2 linked regions of the Callithrix jacchus genome follow. The protein of the gene in region 1 interacts with the protein of each later gene in a pairwise test. Links are inferred from orthologs where the notes say so. Each region holds a gene or a part of one and is shown in the gene's direction. Other genes may lie near its edges. The genes, in order: CD63 and TIMP1.

What was found.
Region 2: the proteins of CD63 (region 1) and TIMP1 interact in binary tests that used the Homo sapiens proteins (3 or more experiments, as listed by UniProt). The link is inferred for Callithrix jacchus from reciprocal best matches to the Homo sapiens genes CD63 and TIMP1.

What each region holds. Positions count from the first base shown.
Region 1 is NC_133510.1:63,927,121-63,933,123, forward strand, and holds CD63 (CD63 antigen), read left to right. Parts: upstream 1-2,275; 5' UTR 2,276-2,495; intron 2,496-2,918; 5' UTR 2,919-2,929; coding exon 2,930-2,995; intron 2,996-3,932; coding exon 3,933-4,121; intron 4,122-4,317; coding exon 4,318-4,392; intron 4,393-4,486; coding exon 4,487-4,582; intron 4,583-4,995; coding exon 4,996-5,136; intron 5,137-5,363; coding exon 5,364-5,447; intron 5,448-5,627; coding exon 5,628-5,693; 3' UTR 5,694-5,783; downstream 5,784-6,003. UniProt on the Homo sapiens protein: Functions as a cell surface receptor for TIMP1 and plays a role in the activation of cellular signaling cascades. Plays a role in the activation of ITGB1 and integrin signaling, leading to the activation of AKT, FAK/PTK2 and MAP kinases.
Region 2 is NC_133524.1:48,546,047-48,552,201, forward strand, and holds the start of TIMP1 (metalloproteinase inhibitor 1), read left to right. Parts: upstream 1-2,615; 5' UTR 2,616-2,654; intron 2,655-3,877; 5' UTR 3,878-3,885; coding exon 3,886-4,006; intron 4,007-5,299; coding exon 5,300-5,379; intron 5,380-5,564; coding exon 5,565-5,691; intron 5,692-5,900; coding exon 5,901-6,025; intron 6,026-6,155. UniProt on the Homo sapiens protein: Metalloproteinase inhibitor that functions by forming one to one complexes with target metalloproteinases, such as collagenases, and irreversibly inactivates them by binding to their catalytic zinc cofactor.

The sequences.
Region 1 (6,003 bases):
ATTTCTTGCATGAGATCCAAGAACCCTCTCTTGGGGTCTGGATCGGGACCTCTTTCCTGTAAACAAATGCACTGGCTGATAAATAATAAAAAAAAAGAAATAAAGAAAAAAAATAAAAACTAGAGTAACTTGTCGATATAATCATATCATGATATGCCCGTTTTGTTAACCATGATAACAGTTCACAAAATAATTTTCTCATGTTTAATTCTCAGTCCATATTTATATGTCCCAAAATGTCTTTCACAGCTGGTTTGTTCAGACAATTATTCAGTGAAGGACCAAGTTGGTTGTTATGTATCGAAAGTCTCTCAATCTTGGTTTTCAGACCACCTTCAACACATCTCACTACATCCTTCCCAAGCACTTCGAGCCAGCCAACCCCAAGCTGTCATATACTTTAAAAAAATGCTCCTTTTTGGCCGGGCGCGGTGGCTCAAGCGTGTAATCCCAGCACTTTGGGAGGCCGAGGCGGGTGGATCATGAGCTCAAGAGATCGAGACCATCCTGGTCAACATGGTGAAACCCCGACTCTACTAAAAATACAAAAAATGAGCTGGGCATGGTGGCGCCTGCCTGTAATCCCAGCTACTCAGGAGGCTGAGGCAGGAGAATTGCCTGAACCCAGGAGGCGGAGGTTGCAGTGAGCCGAGATAGCCGAGATCGCACCATTGCACTCGAGCCTGGGTAACAAGAGCGAAACTCCGTCTCAAAAAAAAAAAAAAGCTCTTTTTTTTTTTTTTTTTTTTCACAGTTAACTGCTTCCCTGTCCCTGGAGCTCTCCCCTTTATTCTCCAAGGTCACCTTGAGCACACCACCCTGCTCCATGAAATCCATTCTCCTATCGTCCCTTTGAGCTTAACCAGCTGCCGCAGCAGGCTTCTGCCTTTCTTCAGTGTGGCCAGAACTTGGTTCTGCCTGCTGGCACAGGGCAGGGCCACTGTCTTCCTCTCCTTGCAGCCCCCGTGCCTAGCACATGCCTGGCATCTAGTGGCAGCACAATGAGGAACCTGAATCCTCCTTTTTTCAGCTCTTCGCTCCTCCTCCACAGCCTGCCCTCCATGGCTAGGGAGAACAAGGTCGGGAATTGGCTTGGTGTGTCCGGCGGGAAGGCCATGATCCTGGAAGCTGCTTCTCAGTTCAGCCCAGAGGTTTCTTTCCTTCTTTGTGTACACACATAAACCAAGACTTTAGATACATACATACACCAAGACTCAGGAAGTGGTTCTTGAGGCAGGACTCTAAGAGCCCAAGGAGTGGGGCCCAGGCTGGAGTGTGACGGCCGGTCCTACCCTCTGGTCTGTTCAGATCAGCTCCTTCTGGGGACCACCGCTGGCACACAAGGGAGGGAGGCTGCTTCGCCCCCCTAGCCCGCTTCCAGCCCTCACCTGGCTTTGTCTTCTGGGATAAGACGGGGAAATCCAGAGGACATAAGCCTCTCCCGCCTTCGTGTCTTCCCGCAAGCCCACGCCATAGCAGGCGGATGCAGGAGCTGTCCGGGAGGTTGGGAGCACAGACCTTGTCAATCCTCCCCCAGAGGACGGGACCCGACGAGGACGTGTCTTCTTTGACTGGAGAGTGTGGCTTCGAGGAAGGGTTTCCTCCTCTTTGCTCAGACCAGGAGCCCTGGAAAATGGAGAAGCTGTGCTAATGGAGGGGACCAGAAACCCCCACTCTAGAATACTCTAGCATGTTGGGAGACACCCACGATGAGAGGCCAGGGACTTTCTAGAAGTGCTTGTTCTGACCCCATCCGACCCAGGCAGACCACAGCTGTCTGCAGAGTCGGATGGGGAGGGGCTCGCACTGAGTTGGAGCCAGAGGAGAGAGCTGGGCTGTGGGAGAAGGATAGGGAAGCCTCTCTCAGACCGCCGGGTCACTAGTCCTCCGCTCTCCGCCCCGGCCCTGAGAGGGTAACTCTCACCCGCCTCCTCCGCTTCTCTGAACCAGAGTGACCCAGGCGGCGCTCCGCCCCGCTCTCCTACTCGGTGTTGGCGCGGAGGTGGGGGCGCCGGAGGGGGGCCCCCGGCGCCTCGAGGTCTTGCCCCTGCGGCTTTCCCTTTTCGGGGGTGGGCGCTGTCTTCCGGGTAGAGGCCACGTGGCCCTGGCTGGGCGGGGGGCTCGGCCCACCCCGCGCCGGCCCCAGTGACTCAGACCTCAGCTGTTCCCGCGTCACATGAGGGAGGTCGGCGGCCACCCGGCGGGGGAGGGGACCGTGGCTGGAGCCCGGGGCGGGGCTGCGCGGCAGGCGGGGCGGGAGCCGGGGGGCGCAGCTAGAGAGCCCCGGCGCCGCGGCGGGAGAGGAGCGCGCAGCCTTGGGGAACCCAGGTGAGGCCGGGGGGTCCCGGCGGACTTGGGCGCGGGCTGGCGGAGACCACCGGCGTTCTCCTCCTCCAGGGCTGGCCCCAGGCCCGAGGAGACCTGCCCGGCGCTCTCCAGCCTCCGTCGAGCAACTTTGCTTCGAAGTTCCCAGGCCAGGGCAGGGTGTGGCAGGGGTGCGGGCCGCACTTTATTTTCGTGGGCGGAGAGGTCCAATCCCAGGGAAAAGGGGTCGGGGTGGGGGTCGGTGTTGGGCTGAAGACCGTTTGTCCGGACCGGTTGGGCGGGGAGGGGGTGTCTGACTCCGGGAGGCTGGCAGGCCGAGGATCGGCTTCTGACTCAAGCCCCTGCCGGCGTCCTTGGATCTGTCCTGGGCCCCACGGGCGGCGGGGCGGGGTCCGGGCTTTGCGGCCGTCACCCCCACCCCTCTCCTGCGGGTGGAGAGGGGGCTGGGAGACGTGGATCCAACCGCGGGTTTCCGGGTGGGAGGGGCCGGGAATCGGGGCGTGCAGGGAAGCCCTCGAGGGCCGGCGGGGAGCGCGGAAGGCGAGGTCCCCTCTCGGCCTGTGTTAATCCCCCCGCCCTCCCCTCTGCCCCAGGCCCGGCAGCCATGGCGGTGGAAGGAGGAATGAAATGTGTGAAGTTCTTGCTCTATGTCCTCCTGCTGGCCTTTTGCGTGAGTGGCGAGGGGTCCTGGGGAGCGCGCTGGCAGGGTGCGGGGAGACCTGGCAGCACACTGGTGAGGGCTGAGGGAGTAAGAATGAAGGCAGCTGGAGACCAGATGTGGAAGGAAAGCCGGGGAAGACAGCGCGGCCACTCCCTCCTCCAGCTTTCCTGGACACCTGAGGCTGGTTTCCACAGAGAATGGCCATCCTGGGGTGCAGCAACCCCTACCCCCACCCCTCCTGGCCCTTCCTGTCTGGTGACCCAACCACTTGTGATATGGGGCAGTGAGTGGGGCAACCAGCCAACCGCCTGATGCTATCGCCACGGGGCTTCCCTTCTCTCCCTTCTCCCCTCTCTTCCTCACCCACACCCCCATCCCTCTCCAGTCCTTCTCCCCCTTTCCCTCCTCCCAGCGCTTGGGGGTGAGGAAGGGCTCTGCCCACCTCAATTTGCTCCTGCTCTGGGCTCCTGTCTTGAGAGGCTACTGTTTGTCTAGGGAGGGGCACATCTCTCTTTCCCCCTTTTCTTCTTCCCTTCTCTTGGCCTAACTAGCCAGAGGAACCTTAGTTACAGCTGAGGCGCGTAGGGTGTGCACTGGAGGATAGCGAGGGGCCAGTTCTGGGAGAGAACTGAGCTGCGAACCCTTGAGGCCCGTAGAAAGCCTTATTCTAGGTCAGAAACATGCGCCTTGGGGGAGGTCAAGGCTTTCTGGGAAGCCTTTGAATTTGGTCAAGTCCCTGATTAAAGAGCCTGGAGGGGGTCAGAGGAGCTGGGGCCAGGCAAGGATGGGTCATCCCCCATCCCCACAGCCGAAAAAGTTCACTGGAGGTGTGAGAATCTCTCCTCTGGTTAGGGCCAAGTCTGTGTCCTGGGTGTACCCCTGTCCTCCACCATGGAGGGCCACTGTGTTGTGGGTCCAGCCTAATCCTCGCCTGCCTTTCTCTTAGGCCTGTGCAGTGGGACTCATTGCTGTGGGTGTCGGGGCACAGCTTGTCCTGAGTCAGACCATAATCCAGGGGGCTACCCCTGGCTCCCTGTTGCCTGTGGTCATCATTGCAGTGGGTGTCTTCCTCTTCTTGGTGGCCTTTGTGGGCTGCTGTGGGGCCTGCAAGGAGAACTACTGTCTTATGATCACGGTGAGTGGCAGGGAGTGGGGCCAGCATGGGTGGTCTGGGACTGCCAGGGCAGCTTGGTTGGGGCTCAGGAAGGTGGGTGAGGTGAGGTGGGTAGGTGGGTGAGGAAGACGTTTGTGAGTGTCCAGGGACGGAGTGGGCCGGAATGGGCCCCTGTAATGCAGACCCCAAACCTGATTCCTGTCCTTTGCTCCTGCAGTTTGCCATCTTCCTGTCTCTTATCATGCTGGTAGAGGTGGCCGCAGCCATTGCTGGCTATGTGTTTAGAGATAAGGTAAGCAGGAAATAACGGGAAGGGCCTGCCTCAGCCTGGCAGGGACCCAGGTGCTTGAATTCTGACTGCAACAATGCTCCTTACCTACTCTCAGGTAATGTCAGAGTTTAATAACAACTTCCGGCAGCAGATGGAGAATTACCCAAAAAACAACCACACTGCTTCGATTCTGGACAGGATGCAGACAGATGTGAGTGGGGTTATTGGGAGCAGGGGTGGGAATAGAGAATTCTCATCTCCAAGGCTGGGCGCGTTAGCTCATGCCTGTAATCTTAGCAGTTTGGGAGGTCAAGGTGGGTGGATCACCTGAGGTCAGGAGTTCAAGACCAGCCTGGCCAACATGGCGAAACCTGTCTCTAATAAAAATACAAAAATTAGCCAGGTGTGGTGGCGTGCACTTGTAATCCCAGGTACTCAGGAGGCTAAGGCAGGAGAAACGCTTGAACCTGGGAGGCAGAGGTTGCAATGAGCCAAGATCGTGCCACTGAACTCCAGCCTGGGCAACAGAGCAAGTCTCTGTCTAAAAAATAAAAAAGGAATTCTCAGCTCCATATTGAAGATGGAGGTTCACTTAACCTTCTCCGTATTTCTTCCCTCCCCCAGTTTAAGTGCTGTGGGGCTGCTAACTACACAGATTGGGAGAAAATCCCTTCCATGTCGAAGAACCGAGTCCCTGACTCCTGCTGCGTTAATGTCACTGTGGGCTGTGGGATTAATTTCACCGAGAAGCAGATCCATAAGGAGGTAGGGAGGAGACTGTGTACGGGACTTGGGAAACCTGGGAAATGTTTTGGGAGGCAAGCGAGACCTAGGATGGAGGTGGACAGGGTCAGGGATGGGGAGGGGATCTGGAAATGATAAGGGTGGGGTGAAAGGTACAGGGGCAGGGAAGAGACCGATGGACCAGGGGAGGGGGATGGGGTGGTAAGTTTCTGATGGTGCTTTTGTCCTGTGTGCCTGCCACCCTTCAGGGCTGTGTGGAGAAGATTGGGGGCTGGCTGAGGAAAAACGTGCTGGTGGTGGCTGCAGCAGCCCTTGGAATTGCTTTTGTCGAGGTGAGAGATAACCCTGAGGAGGGGCTGGACTCAGTCCAGGGTGCCTGGAGTAGGGGCAGTGGGGAGGGTGCTGAGCAGGAGGTACTGGCCTGGGAGTGTGTGTTTGGGGTCTCTTGCATGGGTCTGGGGTAGCTTGCCCTTCTGACTCCTCTCCACCCCCATCCCCATCTTTCTTTCTAGGTCTTGGGAATTGTCTTTGCCTGTTGCCTCGTGAAGAGTATCAGAAGTGGCTACGAGGTGATGTAGGGTCTGGACTCTTCGCCCTCTTCATCTTGGGGAGTGGAGTAGTATCCTCCAGGTTTTTCAATTAAACGGATTATTTTTTCAGACGGAAAAGAGAGATGGTCTGAGTTTGTCTTAGAGAGATGCTTGATTCCTTCCTTTCCTTACCCATGTTCCCTGTCCTCTGGGACCTTACTGTTTGTGTACTTCAGGAAGGTGTATTGTGGGGGCATTTGGGAAAGGAGGACTTTGCTGAAGGTGTTGGTTGGGCAGGCAGTGGGAGAGGTGGCAATCCAGAGACTGTGGTGCTTCCTGCCCCCTAGTCTTGTGCCGC
Region 2 (6,155 bases), on another chromosome or scaffold:
TCTCTTCCTTAACTAACATTAATGAACAAAGAGGCAATCAGGATTGACTAAATGAGATAATGTCTGTAAAAAGACTTTACAAGGGCCGGGCGCGGTGGCTCATGCCTGTCATCCCTGCATTTTGGGAGGCCAAGGCGGGTGGATCACGAGGTCAAGAGATCGAGACCATTCTGGTCAACATGGTGAAACTCCGTCTCTACTAAAAATACAAAAAAATTAGCTGGGCACGGTGGCGCGTGCCTGTAATCCCAGCTACTCAGGAGGCTGAGGCAGGAGAATTGCCTGAACCCAGGAGGCGGAGGTTGTGGTGAGCCGAGATAGCGCCATTGCACTCCAGCCTGGGTAATAAGAGCGAAACTCCGTCTCAAAAAAAAAAAGACTTTACAACAGTGCTTTGGGCTGGAGTGCAGAGGCATGATCTTGGCTCACCGCAACCTCTGCCTCCTGGGTTCAAGTGATTCTCCTGCCTCAGCCTCCTGAGTAGCTGGGATTACAGGCACATGCCACCATGGCCAGCTAATTTTTGTATTTTTAGTAGAGATGGGGTTTCACCATGTTGGCCAGGATGGTCTCAATCTCTTGAACTCGTGATCCACCTACCCTGGCCTCACAAAGTGCTGTGATTACAGGCATGAGCCACCACACCTGGCCTTTTTAAAATAGAGACAGGGTTTCACCATGTTGCCCAGACTGGTCTCGAGCTCCTGAGCTCAAGCAATCTGCCTGCCTCAGCCTTCCAAAGTGCTGGGGTTATAGGCATGAGCCACTGTGGCTTGCCAAATGCATTCTTATTAGATTTAGAAGGCTGGGCGCAGTGGCTCACGCCTGTAATCCCAGCACTTTGGGAGGCCAAGGAGGGCGAATCACCTGAGGTCAGGAGTTCGAGACCAGCCTGACCAATATGATAAAACCTGTCTCTACTAAAAATACAAAAATTAGGCGTGGTGGCATGTGCCTGTAATGCCAGCTACTTGGGAGGCTGAGACAGGAGAATCTCTTGAACCCCAGAGGCGGAGGTTGCAGTGAGCTGAGACTGCACCACTGCACTCCAGCCTGGGAGAAAGAGCGAGACTCCATCTCAAAAAAGAAAACAAGGAAAAAAAAAGAAAAAGAAAAAAAAGATTTAGGGGATACAGCTGCAGTTTTGTGACATAGATATATTGCATAGTGGTGGAGTCTGGGCTTTTAGTGTCACCATCACCCAAATAGTGTACATCGTACCCATTAGATAATTTCTCATTCCTCATCCCACCCACCTCCGCACCCAGAACAGTGCTGGATACGCAGTAAGCACTCCGTGAGGGCTGCTGGTAGTTTTGGTTGTGTTCTTGTTATTGGGATAACATACCTGAGTTAATCAAACTTAATTAGCAAGGGAGTATGGTGAGTGAATGAGATAATTTATACAAACACGTCAGCACATAGTACACAGAAAGTGCTCAATAAGCGGTTGCCATCATCAATACCATTATTATGATGGATCTATCCTCCTCGAATTAAGGATGGTCATCAGAACCCCAGGGAAGATTTCTGCATTGTCAAAAAGCTGGTGGGCAAGGATTGCCCCACCCTAACCCCAACCTAGGGCATAGGTCCGTGGGGAAGGCACAGGGCAGCATGGGGTGGGGATTGGTTTTCTACTGACTCACTCACTTGCTTCTTCCACCATCATTCACAGCCACCCCCTTCCCAATGCTTATTCATTCACTCGCACCATTCCCTGCCTGCTAGGATGGTGCCACTCCTGAGTTACAATCCTGGCACCAGGTAGCCTCAGTTTGAATCCCGGCCACACCCTGTGATCTTGGGAAAGGTCTTCAGTCCCTCTACGTCCCATATTTCCTCATCTGTAAAATGGGAATAGTAACTGGTACCCACCTCAGAGATTTGTTGTGATCTTTGAGTGAGATAAACTATACTGAGTGCTTAGTATACAGTCGGTGATATATAAATGCCAGCTATTTGTCAGTGTTTTTTGAGACCCTGGCTTTGGCTCTAGGCCACCTGAGTTCCAGTCTCAGTTCTGCCATGTATTGACTCTTTGATCCTGGATAAGTCACTTAACTGCTCCGTGCCTTAGTTTCCCCACTTTGTATTCCTCCCCATTCACCTGCTTTATCTCCCTCCATTCCTGCTACTTAACTTGTTTCCTCTCTGCCACCCCTCACCAGCATGTCAGACATACCAAACAAGGGATTTTTGTGTGCTTGGCACACAGTAGATGCACAATAAATGTTGAAGGACTGAACTAATTTGGGTTTGAGCCACAGGGAGCTTGGGGGATGTGGGTGATTGGATAGATTCTGGAGACTCTAGGGGACTAGGCTGGGGTGAATGCTGTCTCTAAGCTCTCCACTGGGGCGGCTTGGAAGGAATAGTGACTGACGTGGAGATGGGGGAGGGGGCTGGCCTGGGCAAGGCCCAGGGGGAGGGAGAGGAGGAGGGTGGGAGAGGAGGAGGGTGTATCTCCTTTCTCCGGCCCGCCCCTTGGCTTCTGCACTGATGGTGGGTGGATGAGTAATGCATCCAGGAAGCCTGGAGGCCTGTGGTTTCCGCACCCGCTGCCACCCCCGCCCCTAGCGTGGACATTTATCCTCTAGCGCTCAGGCCCTGCCGCCATCGCCGCAGATCCAGCACCCAGAGAGACACCAGAGGTAAGCAAGGCCCCAGGGTGGCCCAGCAGGGACTGGGGCTGGCTTGCAGCTTGGGTGCTGGCCACCAGGCCTGTGCACTCCAGTGCCAAATGCCTGTCTGCTCAGCTTGGCCTGCCGGTACCAGGACCCTGGGCTAGTCAAGGGGGAAGAGGGTCCGAGGCTGAAACCGCTTTCCCAGCCCCGAGGCTCCGAACTCCCTAGAACACCTGACATTCATCCCCAACTCCCGTGACCCCCCCCTGAATATCACAAATGCTTTCCAAATCTCCCACCTCCGCCGCAAACTCCTTCATCCCGTAACTTCATCGCCCCCTAAATCCCCATCGCAAATCCCTGCAGCTCCCTAAACTCCCCCAGCTCCCAAACTCCCAACCATTTTTTTTTTTTAAACACGGAGTCTCACTCTGTCACTCAGGCTGGAGTGCAGCGGCGGAATCTCGGCTCACTGCAACCTCCTCCACCTCCTGGGTTCAAGCGATTCTCCTGCCTCAGTCTCCTGAGTAGCTGGGACTACGGGCGCCTGCCACCATGCCCGGCTGATTTTTTGTATTTTTAGTAGAGACCGGATTTCACCGTGTTAGCCAGGATGGTCTCGATCTCCTAACCTCATGATTTGCCCACCTCGGCCTCCCAAAGTGCTGGGATTACAGGCGTGAGCCACTGCGCCCAGCCCCAAACTTCTTTTGCCCTCAAATTCCTCAAGTATCCCCATTGCTTTAAGCCCCCAAATTCCCCCAGCCCCTTCAACCTCCAAACTCCCCCAGCTCCCTAAACCCCTAACCTCCTCCAAATTCTTAACCTCCCTAAATCCCCCAGCCCCCATATCTCTTAATATACACAACCCCTAAGCTCTCCACCTCCTCGAAACTCATTCATCCCCCCAATCCCAAATTCCTCACTCCCAAACTCCTCAACCTCCAGACTTCCCCAATCCCCTCATTCCTCAAAATTCCTGAGCCCCCTCCTCCCCCAAGTGCCACAACTCCATAATCCCGCAACTCACTCAGTCCCTCAATAACTTAAATTCTCCCAACTCTCTAAATCCTAAATTCCTCTGGGCTCCCCAATCCCCTGAAAATCCCCAAATTCCCCAACACTTCAAGACCAAATCCAGTCCCCTAATCCCCTCCATAGGTTGCCCCAGAGCGGGATGGGGTGGATGACCTGCCCAGGTCTGCAGATCAGCTGGCCTGGGGCCTGCCTGACATCCCCCTTTCCCGCAGAACCAACTATGGCCCCCTTTGCACCCCTGGCTTCCGGCATCCTGTTGTTGCTGTGGCTGATAGCCCCCAGCAGGGCCTGCACCTGTGTCCAACCCCACCCACAGACGGCCTTCTGCAATTCTGACCTTGGTGAGTTCTCATCCCACTCAGCCCACACACTCTGCCTTGGTTTCCCCTCTCAGTCTGGTGGGGCTCACAATGTCACTTACCTCTGGATCGATTCCACTTGCCCCTGCACTTCCTCTGCTTTAGCCACACTGGCATCCTCACACTTCCTTGTGTACTCCGGGCCCAAGCCTACCACAGGACCTTCTTGCTGGCTGCTCCCTCTGCCTGGTACACTTTCCCCCCAGGTATCCACATGGGTGGCTGCCTCAAACGTCACCTTCTCAGGATAGCCTTCCCTGGCCATCCTGTTTAAAATTTTAACCCCTGCCCCTTAGTACTCCTGATCTCCTGTTAAAGAGAAAAATATTCAGTGATACTCATTATAGCACACAGTAAGGAAGACCATATTCAGGACTATGGTGATGGATATAGGAACCACTGCCATGGGATCTTGCAGTCAGAGGGGAGAGATTGGGCTCAACACTGAATATAGCATGGGCCAGTGGGAATGTACAGCCAAGGACCAGTGTGAGGGTCTGTGGGTGGAAATCACTGAAAGGAAACATCAGGGGTAATGGATTCTGGCAAAACCGACCTAACAGGATTCTTGCTGAAGGCAGGCCAGAAGAATCACACATCACCTGGGGGATGGTGGAAGATGAAGAACCTGATCAGGTAGCAAGGATGATCAGACGTTGAGGATGATCAGATAGAAGGATGACCAGAGACTGAGGAGGATCAGATATGGAGGACAGGGGTTCTTGCTAAACTAATCCCAGGGCTGTTTGCTAAAATTAAATTTTACAAGGAAGTGCACAGATGGGCCTAGGAGAAGGTTCAGGAGCCTGAGTAAAGTTTGGTCAAGCAAAGAATCTTTGTCATCCCCTTACCCAGGTGTGTAATTCCCCATTATCGTTACTATCTTCTAACATTCCCATATACTTCTTTTGTTTGTTCTTAGCCTGTCTCCTCCTGGCTAGAATGTGAACTCCACAAAGGAAGGGATCTCTGTGTTTTGTTCACTGCTGTGTCCCTAACACCCAGAACAATGTCTGGGACACAGTGGGCACTCCGAAATATTTGTGGAGTAAATGAACAAATGAATATATGAAAATGGCTTAAGCAGTGCCTGGCAAAGAGAGACATTCAACATACAGACGAAACAATGAACAAATGTGTGTAAATCACTTAGCGTGCTGTCTGGCATCCAATAAACCCTCTTTATGTACACACTTTGCTGGTATTATGAGATGATGATCTTATTTTTTTGGCTCATGCAGTCCATTTGACTCATATTTCCCTCCTCTCCTGCAGTCATCAAGGCCAAGTTCGTGGGGGCACCAGAAGTCAACCAGACCACCTTATACCAGCGTTATGAGATCAAGATGACCAAGGTACTCCCCCTGCCCCTTTCCCAGCATTTTCTAACCTCTTCCTCCTGGTCAAAACAGAAGCTTCTGGCCACTGGTTGGTGCGAGAAAGTTGGCTGTGATCTCGGGATGCTATATGACTTCAGGGAAGAACGTGGAATGGGAGGATTATGTCAGTAAAAGAGACACTTCCCCTCATCCATCAACAGATGTATAAAGGGTTCCAGGCCTTAGGGGATACCGCTGACATCCGGTTCGTCTACACCCCCGCCATGGAGAGTGTCTGCGGATACTTCCACAGGTCCCACAACCGCAGCGAGGAGTTTCTCATCGCTGGTGAGGCACCGTTCCCGCGCCCTGTGCCACGCCAACCAGTCCCTGGGGGCGCGGCCTAGCAACCGGGAGGGGGCGAGGCTCTGATGGGAATGGCCCCACTGGAAATGGGGACCACCCCAATTTCAGCCTATCAGTAGGCTGGGCCTTTGCCCGCCCGGTGGCTCACCCAATCACAAGCTGCTTGTCGGTTTCCCCCCTTTTCCTCCTAGGAAAACTGCAGGACGGACTCTTGCACATCACCACCTGCAGTTTTGTGGTTCCCTGGAACAGTCTGAGCTTAGCTCAGCGCCGGGGCTTCACCAAGACCTACTCTGTTGGCTGTGAGGAATGTACAGTGAGTGCCTGGACCCCAACCTCCAACGGGAGATCCTTCCTGGGGCCCTTCTCTAAACCATGGGCTTGTTTCTTGCTCCCTCTGACTATTCCGTGTCCCTGTGGCTGCCCCCCAACCCTAGGGGCTGTCC